Linked DNA regions of Daphnia pulex. The protein of the gene in region 2 purifies or fractionates together with the protein of the main gene of each other region. This does not show direct contact. Links are inferred from orthologs where the notes say so. Each region holds a gene or a part of one and is shown on either strand. Other genes may lie near its edges.

What was found.
Region 1: the proteins of microprocessor complex subunit DGCR8-like (region 2) and ubiquitin carboxyl-terminal hydrolase 36-like purify together in Homo sapiens (affinity purification with western blotting; 3 studies listed by BioGRID, with this or other methods). This does not show direct contact. The link is inferred for Daphnia pulex from reciprocal best matches to the Homo sapiens genes DGCR8 and USP36.

The regions. Positions count from the first base shown.
Region 1 is NC_060018.1:5,362,431-5,366,357, forward strand, and holds the start of ubiquitin carboxyl-terminal hydrolase 36-like, read left to right. Parts: upstream 1-1,322; 5' UTR 1,323-1,522; coding exon 1,523-1,781; intron 1,782-1,857; coding exon 1,858-2,012; intron 2,013-2,078; coding exon 2,079-2,483; intron 2,484-2,557; coding exon 2,558-3,927. Other genes in the region: clusterin-associated protein 1-like, read right to left, coding at 46-359, 417-535, 602-647, 732-928, 1,008-1,029. UniProt on the Homo sapiens protein: Deubiquitinase essential for the regulation of nucleolar structure and function. Required for cell and organism viability.
Region 2 is NC_060024.1:13,485,645-13,489,571, forward strand, and holds the start of microprocessor complex subunit DGCR8-like, read right to left. Parts: upstream 2,540-3,927; 5' UTR 2,126-2,539; coding exon 1,849-2,125; intron 1,784-1,848; coding exon 1,664-1,783; intron 1,590-1,663; coding exon 1,447-1,589; intron 1,384-1,446; coding exon 1,121-1,383; intron 1,056-1,120; coding exon 771-1,055; intron 705-770; coding exon 589-704; intron 519-588; coding exon 313-518; intron 249-312; coding exon 145-248; intron 83-144; coding exon 1-82. Other genes in the region: RNA-binding protein 1-like, read left to right, coding at 3,092-3,300, 3,365-3,508.

The DNA.
Region 1 (3,927 bases), on a different chromosome or scaffold from region 2:
AAATTATTTATCATTTGCCACAACCATCACCAAACTTTGTAACACCTTATATTTTTCATTGTCTCCAAGCGCTTGCGAAGACGCTGGAGTTCTAGACTCTTTTTATCGATTTTTTGATCCATCGAAGCTTCAGTATTAGATATACTATCAATGGCCTCCTGCTTTTGACTGATTTCCACCTCCATTTTTTTCATTTTTGATTGCAGTGCAGTTTCAATTTGTCCCAGCTCATAGGTTCGCTGTAGCACTTGATCACGCTGATTCTTCATACGCATCTCTTGGCCTAAAAAATCGTGTATGGAAGCTCCTTTTGTTGTAATCTCAGAAGCAAGTTGACGCATTTCACGAACATCTTCCGCCTTGAATCACATCGGTGTCAATACTAAAACCTTGTAATGGTAATCTAATAAATTTACTTGACCACCAAATCCGTAAAGAGAAGGCTCGTTATTGTCACCTCCTTTACGAGCAAGCTGCAAGGCCTCGTAAAAAAAATTGGCCACGTTGAGAAGCTCTCTCACTGCTATATTGTCCGCTAGATACAAATAATCATAAAAAATTACTAGATCTATTACGTTTACATTTATCGTGAATCACTTACCTTGGTAAAGTCTTTTAGGATTTAGCTTTATTTGTAATTTGGTATTCTGAAAGAGGAAAGTTGTTATTGTATTAAATATATCACGGGCATTAAAAATTTTAATAATAATAAGTTTAAGAAAGCATTTTACCAGGAATTTTACAACGGATGTTACGAAAACTACGCGCTCCTGTTCTGTTTTTATGAGAAAATTAATTCCACTGTTGACATCCAACTGCTGGCAAAACCAATTCAATATCTCAGCTACTAATCCGAAATTAGTCGATCGGAAATTCTCGCGAGAAATTAAACGCGGGTAACCGAGTAAACACATTTTATCAATAAAATCTATAATTTTTAGAAATCATTATAAAAAAAAGAAGAAACATGTATCGTCTCAAAGATTTTACAGAAATCTTTATTTTACCTGTAATTTCTCGATACGACATTTTTTAAATTTTGTTGGGCTGCTTAAAAGGAATGAATAAGTCTTGAGGCGAAGTTTGTTTGAAAGCATGGCTATTAATGTCTCCATAGCAACTCTGTGTTTAGGGAATGACATGGTTATTATTTTATTCTAAAATTAACACCTACAATTTTTTATTGTTGACATATAAAATATTTTATTATTGAATATTTTCTCAAACATTGTATGATTGTAAATGATAATTTTTCAAAATGTAAGCGAATTTTCAAGATAATGATTCCAATGATGGGGTGTTTAGGGTTGATAGCAAACTGGTACCTCATTTTAATGGCGAAGGATTTCGGCTGTGAACGTGTCTTGGCCCTGTTCACGTGTTGTTGCTCTCGAAGCAAATGTGTTACCAGTAAATTTGTGACTTTTGGGCATGACGTTTTGACGAAAAAATTATTGAATCCACTGCTATTTGTTTCTCTAGTTTGATTTGTTTCATTTTGTTGACATTGTGCATTTTTGTTATGCCTGCTTCGGTGGCCGATCCGGTGGCTCTCGTACTGCGAACCGCTTTGAGCGGGAAAAAGGGTCCTTACTCGCATGAAACAGAAAATGCTCCAGAATTACTCGAGGATCGGTTGGCAGCATCTGCCAAGAGAGTATTGCTCTCATCCATTGAATATGAACCTGCTCCTAAACAACAACTACTTTCGCTGGACACATTGAAGAGCAAGTATACTGTGCTCAATTCCAGCCTTTCTGCTAAAATCACATCCCTAAATGGTATTTTTATCAGTTCCAAGTTACTTCTTTCCCTTATTAATAAGTTTGTTACATAAATTAATGATATTAAATGTAGGATCAAGTCCTGTGACAATTCAAGATTCGCTCCCAGCCCCCAAGGTCACCCTGTTTCGAAGTGAAGATGTGAAAGTTGGGTGGAAAGGCTCTGTACCAGTTGGAGCTGGCATGATAAATATGGGAAATACTTGTTATATGAATTCAACGTTACAAGTAAGTATTAAATCTTTTTTATGTACATACATTATTTAATGTTTTTTTTTTTTTAAATAATTTTAGGCACTTTTCCACGTCCCATCATTGTCTAACTGGCTGTCGAGTGTTAGACAATGTAAAAACTGTGATCCTAATGGAAGTCAGCTCTGTGTTGTGTGTATTATTGCTAAGACACTTCAGTCTACGCACGACAAATCAGGATCTGTTATCAAACCCATTTTGGTCTACAATAGACTAAAACTGATTTGCAAACATTTAGTTCATGGAAGGCAAGAAGATGCCCATGAATTTATGCGATACTTAATGGAAGCTATGGAAAAGGCGTATCTTCAGAGCGTCGGTGGAACTAAACTCGACTCGCGTAGTAAAGAGACTAACCCTCTCGGGCAGATATTTGGAGGCTACATACGAACTGAGGTTACTTGTTTGAAGTGTAAACACACATCAACCACCTTCCAACATTTTCAGGTATTTTTTTTTTTAAAAAGGTGATAGTTATTTCTAAAGCAAGTTAATATTTTTCTTTTCTTCTTTATATGTAGGACATCCCTTTGGATATTCAGCATGCCTCAACTCTAGATGATGCTTTGGGTCATTATTTCCGTCGCGAGAGGCTTGAAGGAGACAATGCTTATAAATGCGAAAAATGCAAGAGCAAGGTCCCTGCTACCAAAAAATTTTCAATTGAGCGCGCCCCGAATGTACTGTGCATCCAGTTGAAGCGTTTTGGACTCATGGGCGGGAAAATGTCCAAGCACATCCAGTTCAGTCGTAACCTGAACTTGAATCGCTTTCTTTTTCATCAGTCGTCGGGTGGACCCTGTGTTGCCTACAAGTTTGTATCGCTCATCAATCACATGGGTCCATCACAGCATTGCGGTCATTACACCGCGATTGCAGAGGCAAGCAATGGACAACTGTATCTCTTCGACGATTGCTCCGTCCGTCTAATCTCACTTAATGTCGCAATGAGTACGGGCGCATATGTATTGATCTACGAGAAAGTGCAATCGTCTCCTTCTACTCCTACTAATAGTATGGCTAAAATAAGTAACATCCAAGCTAACAGTCCAGCTCCTTCGCCTAAGCTTCCGATTCCACGACCGGCGATAATTTCAGAGCCCTCTCGTCCAAAAATCCAAATTGAACTAAAAAAGGCTGATCCTCTTCTAACAAAACCTCGATTGATTATGCGAAACGGGTCGGCACTATTCAAATCTTCTACGGCGCTCCCCCCTTCTCCTGTTGTTACTGTTGCTCCTGTTAACGTATCAGCCGTCAAGGAAGAACCACGCGTCGTCCCTGTAACTGCTCCAAAAACCTCCCCACTTAAAAATCCGACCGCCTTGGTGCCTTACGATGGCGAATCGTCGGATGAAGAACCAGAGAAAGAAACTGCCACAACCAATGCTACCACAGAAACCCATTCATCATCTGCTGTTTTGAAAGCTACCGAAACCAAGTGGCAAGTCAGCCCATCTCCAACTCCTATTGAGACACCAACTACAGTGTCAAGTAACGGTGGGCCCACAGTCGCCACTAAGTGGCAAGTATCAGATAACACTCAGCAGGACAACAGCAGCAGCAGTACCACTAGCAGCGGCAGTGTCAGTCAGAAATGGATCGTTCGATCATTGAGTGATACTGAATCAGAAAGAGCTAATCCAACACGTAGTGAACAGAAGGTTTACTACAGCGACACAGAGATGGATCCACCCTCTACTAAGGACACACCACCTTTAAGAAAACTGGGTAACAAGATTCGTCTCATTAGTGGGAAAATATTTGGACCTTCCACTAAGCAAGTCGACGCAAAACTGACAAACGAAACTTGTAAAAGTAAGGATGCAACCCTTCCGACTGAACCAGTCAAAGAAACGAAATCCGAGCCCGTCAAGGAGGAGCATTCCCT
Region 2 (3,927 bases):
AACCGTCATTATTACTTCGTTTTTCTGATGTTTCAATGTTTTGAGCTCGTACTTGACGTTCTTATCGCCTAAACCAAAGTTTCTGCAACATTCATAATTATTGAAAATCGTTCAATACGCTAAAGAGAAAAACTGTTGAATCACCTTTGAAGGCATGTGAGGAGGATTGCGTAAGGGGATGGTTCGCTCGTTTTTGCACACAGTTCGGCAACGCGAGGGTCTTCTATTCGAATTTCGTTGAAAAACTGCTTTACAATAAACGGTAAGTAACACCATTCAATGCATCTAATAGCAAAATTAAATGCAACGTACGGATAGATCTAAGTCAGACTGATGATTTGGTCCCTTGTGACCTGGTTCCGCCTCGTCCAATATTTTTTCCTTCATCTGTGGAATAAGAACTTCTAGTGTCGCTTTCGCTGCTTCCGCCTTGGCGGCTTTCTTACTCGAACCGACCCCAGTACCGTACTGCATTCCATTAATCAATACCGTAGCACTATAAGGCGTTGCTGCATTCTCTGTCGAACAAAAATTACCCGATAAAACAATGAAAACAAAAATCGTTGCATTATGGGCAGTCGAATATACCAATTTCTTTAAATGTATAGGCAGGTTGCTTCTTAAGGGCATGTTGAACGTATTCATGGAGGATGCAAACGTAACTTTTCCCTGCCGGATTCATAATCCATTCCCGTCGCGATCCACTGTGAGATTTACAAACAAGAAATTGTTATCACAATTGAAGCCTTCAATATATAATGTTTACTTACCCATTAGCTCCACCAGCAGCACCTTGTCCTTCGCTTTGGGAGGTCGGATCGTTGTGTGTTGCCGGAATGGAATGTCCGATAGGGAAGGTTATAAGTTTGGTCCCTTTAGGTAAAGTTGGTCGACCCAGTTCAGCCGTCTGTGACAATTTAGCATCGTCATCCTCAACAGGGCTTTGGCTTGAGCCAATCACTTGTTTCTTATCCTCATTCAAGGAAAGACCAGATTGGGGGTAAATCTGTCGTTGTTTCCGCAGTTTGGTGTGCTTTCTCCTAGCTGCCCATGTTCTGTATGAATTTTTTAACGATGAATGAATGAGTAGGTATTAATAAGATTTAAGCAAATTACTCACTTAAATCGCATAAGGCGGACGGTTTTAAAATCAAATCGTTTGGAGCAGTATTCGCGCAGCTGAACTCCATTGAGAGAATGTGCTGCCTGATTCTCTTGGACTGATTCGATCCGAGCACAGGGGATATCAGGGGCAACATGAGCAGTACCATCTGCTGCAGTGTTAGCTGAGGCCTCTAATAGCTCTTCGGATTTCTGTTCTTCTTTCTCCTTGGCTCTTTGGTAATGTAGGCAAGGTACGGCGCTAATTGGCACTGCATGTTTCTAAAGATCGGAACTCGGGAGTTTAAATAGAAACAAAAAAGTAATGTTTAATTTAAAAATTACTCTGGCACTTCCAGGTCCAAGGAAGTAAGGCTTAGCAAGGGTGCAAACCCGTGTAGGTTTGTGAAGGTAGATAGGCATTCCACTGTTGTGTGTAACTTGGACCCAATTTTCAGGCAAAACTTCGAAATGGTTCTTACCCTTTTCTTAAAAACACAAAATAAAAATTAAAAAACTTTTTTAAATTAAATGTTTTTAAGGAATAACCTGAAAGTGTTACCTTCAAGAACAATTTTTTCTTTTTCTTCATATGCCATACTTGCATCCCCATTACCAGATGGCTTGGAAGAACCATCTGATTTTTTGAACTTTTTCCTAGATTTCATTTCTTCTGGTAAACCTTAAAAGTTACAAGTTACAGGTAAAAAATATCCACAACAAATGTCATATAGTTTGTAAAGTTACCTTCTTCCAACATAGCATCAATTTCATCTTGTTGTATATCAAAATCTTCTTCACTGTCTGCTTCATTGGAACTGCTGAAATCACTCTCTGAATTTTCCTTACACTCATCGTCATCATTAGCGTTGCTTTCAACTATTTCATCTAATACATGAAACTCTCTCATATTACTGAAATCTTTGTACAGTCCATCTGCGTCATCTTCTTCGGGATCAATATCATCCACTAGTTGAGAACCTTCCAAAATATCTTTCATCTCTTCCATTTCAAATTCTGTCATGCACAGAGTAGAAACCAAACTTAAGATAAGGTGTGGAATTGGAAATCCACAAATAAAGTTAACTGGTCTTAATATCTATGAATTACAATGTGTAAATGGAAGAATGAGCATCTACATCATAGGCCTTGTCTTCTGAGAAAATCAAAATCGAACACACATCAATAGCATTCGGGAAGATTTTCCTCAAACTTGGCAAAGCAATGATATAGTGCTATCGTATTTCGACGTGACGGATGAAGAACCGCTTTTATTTGTATATAATTGGATTTATATTAGCAACTATAGTTTTAAAGTAGAATGCCAATATTAGTTCAAAACTTCAAATCAAAATAATAATTTGATTCAATAGAATCGTCAAAGGATGAATAACTCGAGTTTGTTTGTAAAAGATTTCTAAAAAAATATGGCTTAGCAGACGAACTTTTTTCGAAAATCAATCTGTTGTTGCCTCGTCTACAACGCCATCTAAAGACGATCTAATTGTAATAAAAAATTCTAATATAAATCTGATAAAAATATCCTTGATTAAAAATTGCACAATATTCCAAATACAAACTTAAAATCATACTTTTTTGTCTTTTGCAAAAATGTTTTTGTTGATTTTGTTGCCGCATGGCAGCGCTGATTTTCCATTTTGTTGACAGCTTTATGACGTAGTCAGTTTTCACTCCGCTTCAGGTTACTCTTAATCTAGCATCTCGTTGAAAACGATACTGAAACCAAATTTGCTAAAGAAAATACATTCAAAATTCCGGAACAAGAAAGGTAGTCACAACATTCTTCTTTATTGTTGTTTGTTAGTTCATTTTTGTGTATGCAATTGTTTTTCTGTGCATTTCATTAGAGATGCTTTTTATGTTTTTGGTGATGCCTTTGGTCGGGCTAGCCAAGCAAGATGGCGGTTAATCGAGCATAGTTATTTTCAAACCCAGATTTCAACATCAAAATTTTCATTTCCTCTTTAGAATGTCGCGTCATCGTGAATGGGATTTGAAATGCAAAGTCTATGTTGGCAATCTGGGCAATAACACAGCCAGAGGTGACTTGGAAGCTTCATTCAGCAAATATGGAGCCTTGAAAAATGTTTGGGTTGCCCGAAATCCCCCTGGCTTTGCATTTGTTGAGTATGAGGATCCCAGAGATGCTGAAGATGCAGTTAGAGCCATGGATGGATCGTAAGAAACCAAATTACATACAATGGTAATTAATTATGTAAAATTAATTATTGACTTCTCGTAGGAGGATTTGTGGTTCTCGTGTGAGGGTGGAGATGTCTTCTGGCAGAGCCAGAGAGAGGAATGGACCCAGAGGAGGAGGTGGTGGTGGTGATCGCGGAGGTGATCGCCGCGGAGGGCCCCGTGGCGGTGCCGATTTCCGCGGAAGGTACGGTTAAAAATAATAAATTCTAACTTTTTTTTTTTACTTTTGAATTTCAATCAAATTGATTATTAAATATCAAATTTTATATATATATATATCGGAGCTGCTTATTTAAATCAAAACCTATTGCTTTCACAGGATTTTTTCATTTGATTTACTACCCCACTACCCCATCCATACAGCCGTAGTATTTGGTTGAAAAAAAAAAAAAAAAATAACATACCCCCTCTTTGTTTCTGGTTAACTGCTGCGGCACATGTTTGCCTGCCAACAACCACAAGTCTCTCCCCTTGTCGTCCACCAACTCAGCTCAATCAGCTCAGCTCAGCGCCGTCCTCAAGCGCCGCCATTCTTTTTTCTTGGCGGAGCAAAATGAAACAGAGCATAGCCAGCTTTCGTCCATCCATCCATCCAACCACACC